Linked DNA regions of Rattus norvegicus. The protein of the gene in region 3 binds, or shares a complex with, the protein of the main gene of each other region. Links are inferred from orthologs where the notes say so. Each region holds a gene or a part of one and is shown on either strand. Other genes may lie near its edges. The genes, in order: Ren, Anpep and Agt.

Region 1 (3,645 bases), on a different chromosome or scaffold from region 3:
TAGAGAGCCCTGTAACTGAGAGTCCTGGACACAGTCCCTGGTCACCTTCTATGGGAGACATACCGTACATTCAGGGAGTGGGAGAGGTGAGGAGGGGAAGGCTTTGTTTCGGACCCAGTGTGGTCTGGACAGTTTGCAGGCTGGAGCCAGATGGTGCTGTTGCCACCACCCCTCACCACCGCCGCCCGCCCTTTGACGCCACCCAGCTCTCTTACATTATTTGCTCTCTTCTCTTTGACTCCCAGGGCTTGCATGATCAACTGCAGGGAGCTGGTAGGGCCCGAGATATAGGATGTGCCAGTGTCCACCACTGCCATACAGCCCTCCTCACACAACAAGGTGGCAGGCCCCACAGAGACCCTGTGGAGGCTACAGTTAGACAGGCAACAGACCCCACCTCCATCCTCACCCCCGGCTGCATGCCTTTCCCAATTTAGGGAGTGATGGGAGGCCATATAAGTGTTCTGGTGGTGACCTGGAGGAGGGCTGAGGCACTAAAGAAAGGTACTGACTGTTCCTTGCCATCAACACGGTAGCCTCCAGACTCCACCTCCTTTCCCTGAGTCCCTTCCATCCCAGTCCCACCCTCAAATCTTCATGCCCCGATCCTGGACAGAGCACACAGAAAGCAGATGGTGGCTGTGCCTTAAGGGGTGGCCCCCCTGTCCCATCCCCATCCTGCCCCGATCACATGGTGACATGCATTTGGATGGTTGGAAGGGTTACAACTGCTGACCCCTTCATGGTGATCTGCCAGGAGCCGGCCTTGCTGATGCTCACGTAGTGAAAGTTGCCCTGGTAATGTTGAGGGTCACTGCCTCCCAGCACCACTTCGCCCCCCAGCAGGTGGGACTCCCTAAAGGAAAGAGCGGCGAAGCTTAGAGACACACTGGAGACTAGGGGATGAGGGAAAGTCCAGTCTGGTGCAGGCGGGTTTTGGGGCAGAGGAAGGGTTCTGTGGGTAGATGGCAAGGTCGTAAGCTGTCATCAGGAGACACATAGACCCTGTTGCTTCTCCCCATGCTGGCCCCTCCCTTAATGTAACCGAAGTATTTCTAGGACTGTCCGACTGCCCCCCAGAAAACCATCTAGTTCAAGGACACTGGGTAGATGCAAATGGCGGTAAATTGTGCCTTTCTCGGGTGTGTGGGGCAGACTCTGGGGAGAAGGCAGACATGACTAGAGTGTGTAGAGGGAAGAAGGCAGATCTTTAGTGGAGCTGGGTCTGATGAGTGGATGTGTGGGAGGGTGGGTATGATTCTGGGATAAGGGTCTGGGAAATAGTGGAGCTTGGGGCCCCATTGGGGCTCCTCTCTCCTTAAGATTTCTGCTGAGGCAAAGAGGGACACAGAAGGGAGACCTTCTTCTTAGGCAAGATTCAGCAACCCTGTTGTTTAGAAGTAGAGGCTAATTTTTGCCCTCCAGGCAATTGAGTCACCAGATGGTGAGACCCTGGTGGACACACGATGGCTGGGGCCACACTCTCATTCTCAGTCAAAGCTGACTGCCCTCACTTTCCTCTCCACATGCATCATGCTACTTCAGCCCAGGCCTGCCTCGGACTGGTTTTTAAGGTACTCGTGTATATATGAAGGAGTTTCTTAGAATTCGAAACACACACACACACACACACACACACACACGTATGTGCACAACATACACGCATGTATGTGCACATGTGTACATGTGGTAGGTTGTGCATGTTCTGTGCAAGAGTCAGTGACTTATCTAGGTCTTCCTGCTTCTCAGCCCAAGGGAAGGGAAGAGGGCCCCTGCTTACCAGGCCTGCTTGCTACCTGTGCTGGAGCCTCATTCCTTCTGTGGTCCTGTTCCAGAGCCCCATGCATGTGCTCCCCACATTTTAGTCTTCCCATGGCTTTTCTACCCACAGCATTACTCAAGCATCCTCTAGCGTTTAGAACACCCTCCTTCTTCTCTCTGGATCTCACCGCACACCCTGCCCCACATCTCCTTCTTTGTTGAATTTTCCAGAGCAGTCCACATTTTGTGGACTTGCTCCCCCACCCCCCGACACCTCTTTCTGACATCTACTTTCACTCTTAGCCACTTTGTTTTTCTGGTCTCTTTGAAGCACAACCCCAAGACCACTGACCGCAGGAGACTCCGGGAGGTGTCATTTGCTCAATGCCTCTCTTTGCACAGAAATCTGCCGGAGCCATGATCCAGAAATTCCTGCTTCCTCTGAGATTGTTCTAGTCTACTCCTCCCTTCCAGTCTCGCCACCCCTGGCCTCTATTCTTACCAGTAATGATTTTACCTCCAGCTCAGACCATCTTTCTAAACCCGGCCTGTGGCAGCAGATCCCAGCCCCGCTGGGGCACTGACCACAGCTTCTCCAAAGCTGGCTGAACTGCCCAGAATCCTGGCCTAGAATTGAAAAACCATCTGCAGCTTCAGAATGACACTCACTGTACTGTATTTCTCGTCTCCCCTGCTGGGCAGTAAGATCTATGAGGATGGAGGGTAGGGATTGTCTTGTGGACTGTGCACCCCTGGAGCCCACCACAGAGCATGGAAACAGAGCACAGAGCGGATCAATGAGAGGACAGATAAAGGTGCCAGCAAAGACATGAAGCCAGCCGTGTCTGTGTGGCCAGTCCCTCAGGACCGAATGTTTGACTTGCATTCATTTTAATTGGCTAGTGTGGTTCTAGATATGGATTGAGGACCACCTAATCAGGAGCATGTAAATCCTGGACTGGACTTTTGCCGTCCTCCCAGCTGTCCTCCCCTCCCTGCCCTGACCTTGAAGTCAAAGGCCCACCTGCTGTAGTAGACAGAAAACACTTCCTCCTTTAGCACCCTCTGGGAGAGAATGTGGTCGAAGACAGGGATGACTCCATCAACAGCCTGAGCAGGGAAGCCCATGCCCAGAACCCCGTCAAACTTGGCCAGCATGAAGGGTATCAGGGGCAGCTCGGTGACCTCTCCAAAGGTCTGTGTCACAATGATTCCACCCACCTGTGAGAGAAGAAACATAAGGGACAGAGGTTACTGCCCAACCTTGGCTGGGATCTGCTCTGGCTTTCACACCAGGGGCCCCAGGGATACAGGTTCTGTACAGCCGTGAAGGTGAGACTATCTCGCCAAATGTGCACACACTGTCTCAACACCTCTATGCTTGGGGGCCAGAAAGAGGGGGGTGACTAGTGCTATAAGGGCTGAGAAAGAGGTCCTGCCAGACAGGTGATCTGCACCTTCCCCGAGGCCTACTTTCATGCTAGCCCTACCAGCCAAGGCTGAGGATTTCCTCACTATAACCAGGGCTTCCCTTTCTGCCCCTCCCCCAGATTCCACAGGCATGGGGAGAGGGAAGGGCTTGCACTGATTTCCTCTGGGCTCCTATATGTGTCTCTTCCTACCTCTGGCACAGCAGGGCTGAGAGACGCCAGAGCAGCGAAGGCTTAGGCACTGACTGAAAGAAAGCAAAATCGCCCTGCCACAAAACCCTGGTTCCTAATTTCAATGCTCCAAGCCTGCTCTCAACTAGCAAAGTCTGACAGGTTACTAGGAAGGAAACTGGGCTTTAGGTACACCCACATGTACGTTAACGTAAAGCCTTGTCCATGTCCATCAGTGTCAGCCAGTTTGCTCTACTGGAAGCTGCCAAAGAGGTTGCACTTC
Region 2 (3,645 bases), on a different chromosome or scaffold from region 3:
CCCTGCATGTGACACAGTTCACTTTCTGGGCCTTTGCATGGAAGTGACCCCCTCGCTCCTGGCTCAGCACTCCGGTCACCCCAGCCAGACTCTACCGTCGACCGTTAGAGGGTCCCTGGATGTTTCTGACTGCATGCCTTCCTTCACCTGCTTCTGAGCGACTGGCCTTTGTCTCTGACTCCCCTCAGTATCTGGTCCCATAAGGCAGCTCCTTGTACCTGCCAATCACTGTCCTGAGCATTTTACTAGAAATCTCTCCTATCATTCTCTCACCACTCAAAGGAGCAGGAAGACCAGAGGGGAATGGTAGCTTGCCTGAGACCACAAAGAAGCAAGGTGACCATTGGAAACGAAGATAACAGCTCCATTTGTTGAGTGAAATAATGAAGGGAATCTTCACTCAGCTCTCCCCAAACCCACAACCCCACCCCACCCCACTCCCCGAAGAACACGGGCCAAGAGCCAGCAGATAAGATGGGGCTAGGTTACTTTTCTCGGTCTCCAGCCAGTAGTGATCCTCCTTTCCATTTTTGAGATACGGAATGGGCACAATCCAGAGGTAACTGCAGTGAGAGACCATGACCCAGAGTGATGATGGGTAACTCTTGGGCACGCCAGCCTAAGGTACCCCTCTCAGGTGCCCACTGACCGCCCAACACTGATACCAAATGTCACTGAGCTCCTAACCGTACACACTCACCTCCCTTGTGTCCCACCCTTCCCAGGGACCCTGGTGGCATTATCTGCTCACTTAAAATCTGAGGGGCGGGTAGGTTTGGAAGTGGGGTCCAGGAGGAAGTGTTCCTGGTAGATTTCTCCCGTACTGGTGTTCACAGTGATAACAGGAAAACCCATCTGTAGAATCCATCGGTCCATGATGGTGCTCACTGAGGCTGGGAGTTTGATAGCTGTCTGACTGTCCACTGCCTGTTCAGGGGACACAGTGTGGCTGTCAAACCACTATCCTCCCACACCCAGGCAGCCTCTGCGGATTCTGGCCAGCCTAGGAGTGTGGTGTCACTAATTCAGGGAAGTGGGGCAGAGGATAAGGGAGCCTGTCTAGCTCTGTCTCTCCTGGTCTGCCCAGAGCTGGGTGAGCTGAGCTGCAGAACCTCTTGGCTTCTAGCTAGTTTCATTGTTGGCACACCTGTATGTGGCCCCCAGATATGGCCCATGCCTAGGGCACTTTCTGAATGTTTAGAGATGAGAAGAACAAAGAGGAGACAAAACGTTGCCCGAGGTCACAGGCAGGAGCAAGGGAAAGGGCTGTGGGTCTGAAAAGGGCTGTGGGTCTGGAGGCAAAGTACCCCCGGTAGAAGAGAATGGGATGCCAAAGCCCTTGTTACTGTCCACTCAGGTCTATCTCATCGTTTCCAAACGCTTGGGCAGTACTTTTGTAATCACAGCAAAAAGCCAGTGGCATCTGCTAGTAACTGAAGCTGTGAACCCCTGAAAGCTGGGCAGAAGAGAAGCTGTCAGTAAGCAAAGTTCGGGGTGGGGGGGGGCAGTAGATGGGGAAGGGAAGGAGGTAAGCTTTGGTGGAGGGCAGGAAGGCAGGTGGTAGAGGAAGGATCCCAGAAGGCGCCACCCAGTCAACTGCCAATCAGGGTGGAGAGGTTGGGTCTGCAGATGGGGTGAGGGGGAGGGGAAGGGGTGGGGTTAGGGGGTCGTGATCTTGAGACTAGGTCCTGCCCAGTTGTGACTCTGTGACATCCCCTGCCCAGTGAGATGGCCTCGGGGGCCCAGAAAGACACAATAGAGCAGCCAGGGAGTTGTTGGACAGGATGTCAAGGCCCTAGGACTCTTGGAAGAGTAAGGATGGAGGAGAGGTAGGCTAGGCAGAGGAAGAGTGGGCAAAGTCTGTAGAGAAGACTGGAGGGCACGGAGGGGGAGGGGAGACAAAGTGACAGGGGCTCATGGGAAGGGTGGACTCCAGCCTGAAAGAGAGGCAGGACAGAGAGCAGCCTCTGGGCAAGGCAGGAGGGCTTGGAATGTGAGGAAGCTGGCACAGAGGGTCAGAGTCTGCATCCATTGTGCTGGTGTGTGCAAGGATGTGCCAGGTAGGGAAGGCCACGGGGCACAGGGCAGCTGGGAGGGGTGAGTCAGTTAAATGGCTGGTTCCAAAGTTCTGGCAGAGGAAAGCAAAAAAGGAGGAGGAGAAAGAAGAGGAAGGGGATAGAGGAGTAGTCTGGTGTAGGAGCCCTGAGGCTCATATTCTCAGTGCTAAGTGACCCACAAGGCTCACCGCGGTGCAGCTAAGCAAGAACCCGAAGTGGGTCAGCTCTGGTGGTGCAGGTGCTAGGATATGCTGAGGAGGGAGAGGCAGGCGGATCTCTGGGTTCGAGGCCAGCCTGGTCTACAGGATAAGTTCCAACAGCCGGAGCTATACAGTGAGAGCTTGTCTCAACAAAACAAAAGAAAAAGCTGGATGTCTTGGCGTGCATCTATAATACCAGCAGTCCCTCCTAAGGGAAGATGGGGAGTGTTCATGCAGAGAAACAAGGTATCCCCTGCCTCAGAAACAAGATGGGAGAAGCAACTGAAGAGAACCCTTTTAAAAAAATAAGGAAAAGGTGAGCTAGGAGCAGGGTTCTTACCCACCCTCTTTATGGATCCATCTTTATACCCATTTTATAGATGAGCCACTGAGGCTCCCGACAGTTTGCCAGGATTACTGAATGCAACAGCTGGGTACAGTCTCTCACATGCTGTCCCCAGGGACTTTGGGCCTTAGGACCTGAATGGAAAAGGCTTGTTACCTGCTGAAGGTGTTCCCACAGGTCCAGATAAATGGTGTTCGAGTATTGGAAGGTGTGGAGGTAAGACTGTGGAGATAACAGACCTTGGTAAGGGCTGGGTTATGCTGGGGGAAACCACCATGCAGAGGCCCTGCCTGGAGCTATACTCACCGAAAGGCCCTTCTTGAACAGGTCCTCTGTCAGGAAGCTGGACAACATCCTAAGGACTGAGGCTCCCTGGGGTTGGATGAGAGAGATCAGCAGGCCAAGCTGGCTACCAGGGGAAGCATTCCCAGAGTGGCAGCTGTGATGAGGCTCCCTGTGGGATGTATCCCTTCCCACCCCAACTCCACGACTCCCAGGGCCCCCAAGAAGCCAGGAGGCACCTTGCTGTAGGTGATGCTGTCAAACAGCTCACTGATCTGGGCTGGCGTGTTGACCTCGTTGGCAGGGCTGGACAACGGGTGGGAGGAAGCGAGCGCGTCCACGGCCATCACACGGTACACATCATTCAGTACTATGAGGTCTTTCTGTGGAGTCCCCAGATACCATCAGGAGACCAGAAGGGGTGTCATAGACACTCCGGTCTTCCACTTCGGCCCCACTCCCACAATGGAGTCTCACCAGATTCCAGGTGGGCTCTGCATAGTCAGCACCCAGAAATTCCACATAGGAGGCAAAGCCCTCGTTCAGCCACAGGTCATTCCACCAATCCACGGTCACCAGGTTGCCAAACCACTGCAGGGGACACAGGCGAGCCTTTGAGCCTCACAGGCCTTGCCGTCACTAATGGCACATAGCCATGCACTGGCTGTGTACTGACACAGGCCAGGTGAGGACTTGACATCCCAAGGTCTTTGCTCCTTCTTGGTTCTCCCACAGCCACCCACCTGATGGGCCAGCTCAT
Region 3 (3,645 bases):
ACCAGTGACTCCCTGGAGGCCAAAAAAGATAACCTGACTCAAGATGGCATGGCCCTGCCCAACTGCCCTTCTGGGCTGGGTGATGCTCTTGAGGCTAGAGTGGCTGACCCACGCAGGAATACCCAGCTTACTCCCTCCCTCACACGGGGAGCTGCCGTATATCCCTGTCTGAGAAGTTGCCCATCTGTTCTATGGCCTCTTACTACTTGTAAACCAGGCAGAGGGCTCTGAGGGGCAGGAGATCCTGACCCTCCTGGTTTCTCAAGAGACGTCAGCAAGTATGGAGACACCCCCCCCCCCCGAGCAAATGCCTGGGGCAGTACTGCAGGGAACAGCACTAACTGAAGAGGAAGGGAATGAGTTGTAACAGGCTGGAGAAGGCCACAGGCAGACATCCTTGCAAAGCCTTGGGAGACCAGGTTAGGAGTGTGCAGGGGCTGGGCTCAGAGAGGGCAGACCTTGGGAGGATGCTCTTTTTCCAGTGGGCTGAGGGGGACAGTTTTATTCCTAGGACATTGGACCTTGGCCCACAACAGCATGGCAGGTGTGTGTGTGTGTGTGTGTGTGTGTGTGTGTGTGTGTGTGTGTGTATGTGCAGGGTGTGCAGTGGTCCAGGGACACCATCCTGAGAACATGTGCCAGGGCCCCAGGTCTTCAGATTGATGGTTACTAGGGGAGGGGTGACCAATGGGGCCAGCAGCAGGGAGACATCACAGTCTGGGGTAGATGTAGAAGGATCAGGGATGACTGGGCCACTCTGACAATATCTTTGCAGCCTATAAATTCATGTGGGGAAAGACCTTGGCCTGCTTTGAGACTGGGAAAGGTGTGGGGGGTAGAATGTGGACGGAAAGAGGTAACCCTGAGGCTGGTGGAGGGTGGCTACACCCATGTGAGTCGGAAAGGAACCCGGAACTGAGCCACAGTCCCTGTGGGAAACCCTGGGAGGACTATCACTGAGAAAGGAGCACTTCTACAGGGCATCAGTGTCAGTGATGGCTTGCTGTAGAGAATGCCTGTTTTCACACCCCAGACTCTGGAGCCAGCAGGGAACAGAGGAGGGCGAAGGGAAGGAGTGGAGGAGGGGGGGGGAGAGGGAGGTGAGGAGGGAGGGGGAGAGGAGTGAGAACAGGAACGGGAAGGAGGAGGAATGGGAGGAAGAAAAGCAGAGGAAGGGGAAGGAGAAGGAAAAGAGGAGGAGTGGGAAGAGGGGAAGGAGGATTGGGGGAGGGAGGGAGAGGAGGAATGGGAGGAGGAAAAGAGGAGAATGGCAGGAGGAAGGGGGAATAAGGGGAGGAGGAAGAGGAGAAAGAGGAAAGGGAGGGGGAAGTGGAGGAAGAGGAAAAAGAGGGTGGGAAAATGAAGGAAGAGGAAGAGAGGGAGAGGGAAGAAAAGAAAAAAGGAGACGAGGAAGGAAAAGAGGAGAGGTTGGGGGTGGGGCAAAAAATGAGTTGTGCCAGCACTCAGAGGCCTGGATGCTCACTTGTACTCTGTCCTGATCTCACTGCTGTTTGGCCTTTCCTGCCCATCTCCATCCGCCAGAGGCTTGTCCTCTTCCTCACACCCATGAGGCTGCAGACTGCCTCACAAACTCCAGGTCCCCTTAGCAATAGCATTGGGGACAGTTAAGCATTTGTATCTAGCGAAGCCTCAAGGCCTTGGGCTCGTGGTCTCTACAGTGTTCTTTGCCCAGTACTTGATGTCTCCAGAGCTTGAATAGCCCTGGTGGGTTCCATGACACTAAGGGACATGACCAGGGGAAGTTTACTCAGTCCATAATAGGACTGCTGAACAGGGAAGGATCCGGGGAGCATAGGGAGAACAGGAAACAGACAGCTTCACATCTCTCTCAAAGCCTTGTCCTGTTTCACATTTCTCATTTCTTTTTTCTTCATTTATTTATTATGTATAGAGTTCTGCCTGCAGGTACACTTGCACACCAGAAGGGGGCATCAGTTCCCATTACAGATGGTTGTGAACCACCATGTGGTTGCTGGGATTTGAACTCAGGACCTCTGGAAGAGCAGTCAGTGCTCCTAACCGCTGAGTCATTTCTCCAGCCCAATGCCTGGCTCTTACGAGGGACTGGGGCTGTAGGTGCAGGTCATCAGGCCTATAGAGCCAAGTTACCATGGAGCCATCTCTCCAGACCATAATAATGTCTGAGGTTCTAAAGAGTGAGTTTGCAAACCAGAACAGGTCTGGGTTGAGCTTGTCTGTTCAGGTAGGAGCAGACTGAGTCCCTCGGGTGTCCCATGTGAGACCTCAGACTCCACACCAACATGGGCTGTGTTTTTTGCTGCTCTTGGGGTCTCTGCAGGGAACTCAAGTGGCTACAATTAGAAGTAGCATCAGAGAGCACCTGAAGGTGACATCTCCAGGTCAGTACAGCATCACAGAGGGAGTAGAGGTGAGGAAGCTGAGGCAGGAGCCAGGGTGGAAGAGTCCCAGCCCTGCCTCCCCATCCTACCCCCGTTGAGTTTCCTTTGGTCTCTGTTGCTTTCAGGGAAGATGAGAGGCTTCTCCCAGCTGACTGGGCTCCATGAGTTCTGGGTGGACAACAGCACCTCAGTGTCTGTGCCCATGCTCTCGGGCACTGGCAACTTCCAGCACTGGAGTGACGCCCAGAACAACTTCTCCGTGACACGCGTGCCCCTGGGTGAGAGTGTCACCCTGCTGCTGATCCAGCCCCAGTGCGCCTCAGATCTCGACAGGGTGGAGGTCCTCGTCTTCCAGCACGACTTCCTGACTTGGATAAAGAACCCGCCTCCTCGGTAGGAAGCATGTGGGACCCTTGGGAAGTAGATTTGCATCCAATGCACGCTCACACGTCAGCCTGTCCAGGTCTGTCCTGTCACCACCCCTCCCACATCCTGCCATCGGGAGCAGTGTGGTTGCGGGTATGGCTGTTATCTGTGAGGTTACGGATACTACCTTCCTCCACGGGGAGGCAAGGACCCAACTGGGGCTGTTTTTAGGGTTAATATTTGCTGCAAGGAAGCATCGTGACCAAAATGCAAGTTGGGGAGGAAAGGGTTTATCTGGTTTACACTTCTAGATCATAGCCCATCACTGAAGGAAGACAAGACGGGAACTCAAACGGCAGGAACCTGGGAGCAGGAGCTGATGCAGAGGCCATGGAGGGGCGCTGTTCACTGACTTGTTCCTCCTGGCTTGGCCAGCCTGCTTTATTATAGAAACAGGACCACCATTCCAGGGTGGAACCACCCACTATGGGCTGGCCCCTCCCCCCATCAATCATTAATTAAGAAAATGCCCTACAGGCCTGCCTACAGCCTGATCTTAAAGGAGGCGCTCTCTTAGTTGAGACTCTAGCTTGTGTCAAGTTGACATAAAACTATCCAGCAGGGGTGGGCACTATCTCATTAGCATTTTGGTTTTTAGAGAGCATCTAGAGTTTGTGGTAATTCCCCCACCTCTGCTTCTCAAGCGCCTGGATGATAGGGTTGAGGTGCTCTGTCTGTCAGGCTAATAGCCAGTTACTCAAAAGCATCTTTGGCTTTTCCAGGGAAGGTGTTCCTCACGCAGCCGGGCTGAGAACGAAGGGCAGACAGCTGCCCACCAGCCCCGAGCTCTCCACAGTAGATGTTCCAGGTTCTCCTCCTGTTTCAGGAGGTTTTGTTG

The links.
Region 1: the proteins of Agt (region 3) and Ren are in contact, whole or in part, in a crystal structure (PDB 6I3F), measured with the Homo sapiens proteins. The link is inferred for Rattus norvegicus from reciprocal best matches to the Homo sapiens genes AGT and REN. Residues at the interface, in NP_001369746.2 of Homo sapiens: Asp25, Tyr28, Ile29, His30, Pro31, Phe32, His33, Leu34, Val35, Ile36, His37, Asn38, Glu39, Lys91, Leu92, Ala95, Met96, Met99, Leu100, Phe103, Arg107, Arg148, Ala151, Ile152, Gly154, Gln353, Gln354, Asn355, Asn358, Glu391; in NP_000528.1 of Homo sapiens: Tyr81, Met82, Thr84, Gln85, Val102, Asp104, Gly106, Ser107, Asn109, Ser118, Arg119, Leu120, Tyr121, Thr122, Val125, Tyr126, Leu147, Arg148, Tyr149, Ser150, Pro181, Ala182, Leu183, Pro184, Met186, Leu187, Ala188, Glu189, Phe190, Val193.
Region 2: the proteins of Agt (region 3) and Anpep are in contact, whole or in part, in a crystal structure (PDB 4FYS), measured with the Homo sapiens proteins. The link is inferred for Rattus norvegicus from reciprocal best matches to the Homo sapiens genes AGT and ANPEP. Residues at the interface, in NP_001369746.2 of Homo sapiens: Val27, Tyr28, Ile29, His30, Pro31, Phe32; in NP_001141.2 of Homo sapiens: Gln211, Gln213, Ala351, Gly352, Ala353, Met354, Glu355, Arg381, Val385, His388, Glu389, His392, Glu411, Glu418, Asn438, Arg442, Phe472, Tyr477, Ile864, Phe896, Ser897, Asn900, Gln903, Ala904, Arg907.

What each region holds. Positions count from the first base shown.
Region 1 is NC_086031.1:47,354,728-47,358,372, reverse strand, and holds part of Ren (renin precursor), read right to left. Parts: intron 2,983-3,645; coding exon 2,786-2,982; intron 857-2,785; coding exon 737-856; intron 361-736; coding exon 216-360; intron 1-215. UniProt on the Homo sapiens protein: Renin is a highly specific endopeptidase, whose only known function is to generate angiotensin I from angiotensinogen in the plasma, initiating a cascade of reactions that produce an elevation of blood pressure and increased sodium retention by the kidney.
Region 2 is NC_086019.1:143,188,358-143,192,002, forward strand, and holds part of Anpep (aminopeptidase N), read right to left. Parts: coding exon 3,629-3,645; intron 3,477-3,628; coding exon 3,363-3,476; intron 3,269-3,362; coding exon 3,125-3,268; intron 2,976-3,124; coding exon 2,910-2,975; intron 2,826-2,909; coding exon 2,760-2,825; intron 928-2,759; coding exon 752-927; intron 564-751; coding exon 490-563; intron 1-489. UniProt on the Homo sapiens protein: Broad specificity aminopeptidase which plays a role in the final digestion of peptides generated from hydrolysis of proteins by gastric and pancreatic proteases.
Region 3 is NC_086037.1:69,428,288-69,431,932, reverse strand, and holds part of Agt (angiotensinogen precursor), read left to right. Parts: intron 1-1,860; exon of another isoform or gene 1,861-2,506; coding exon 2,507-2,774; exon of another isoform or gene 2,775-3,645. UniProt on the Homo sapiens protein: Essential component of the renin-angiotensin system (RAS), a potent regulator of blood pressure, body fluid and electrolyte homeostasis.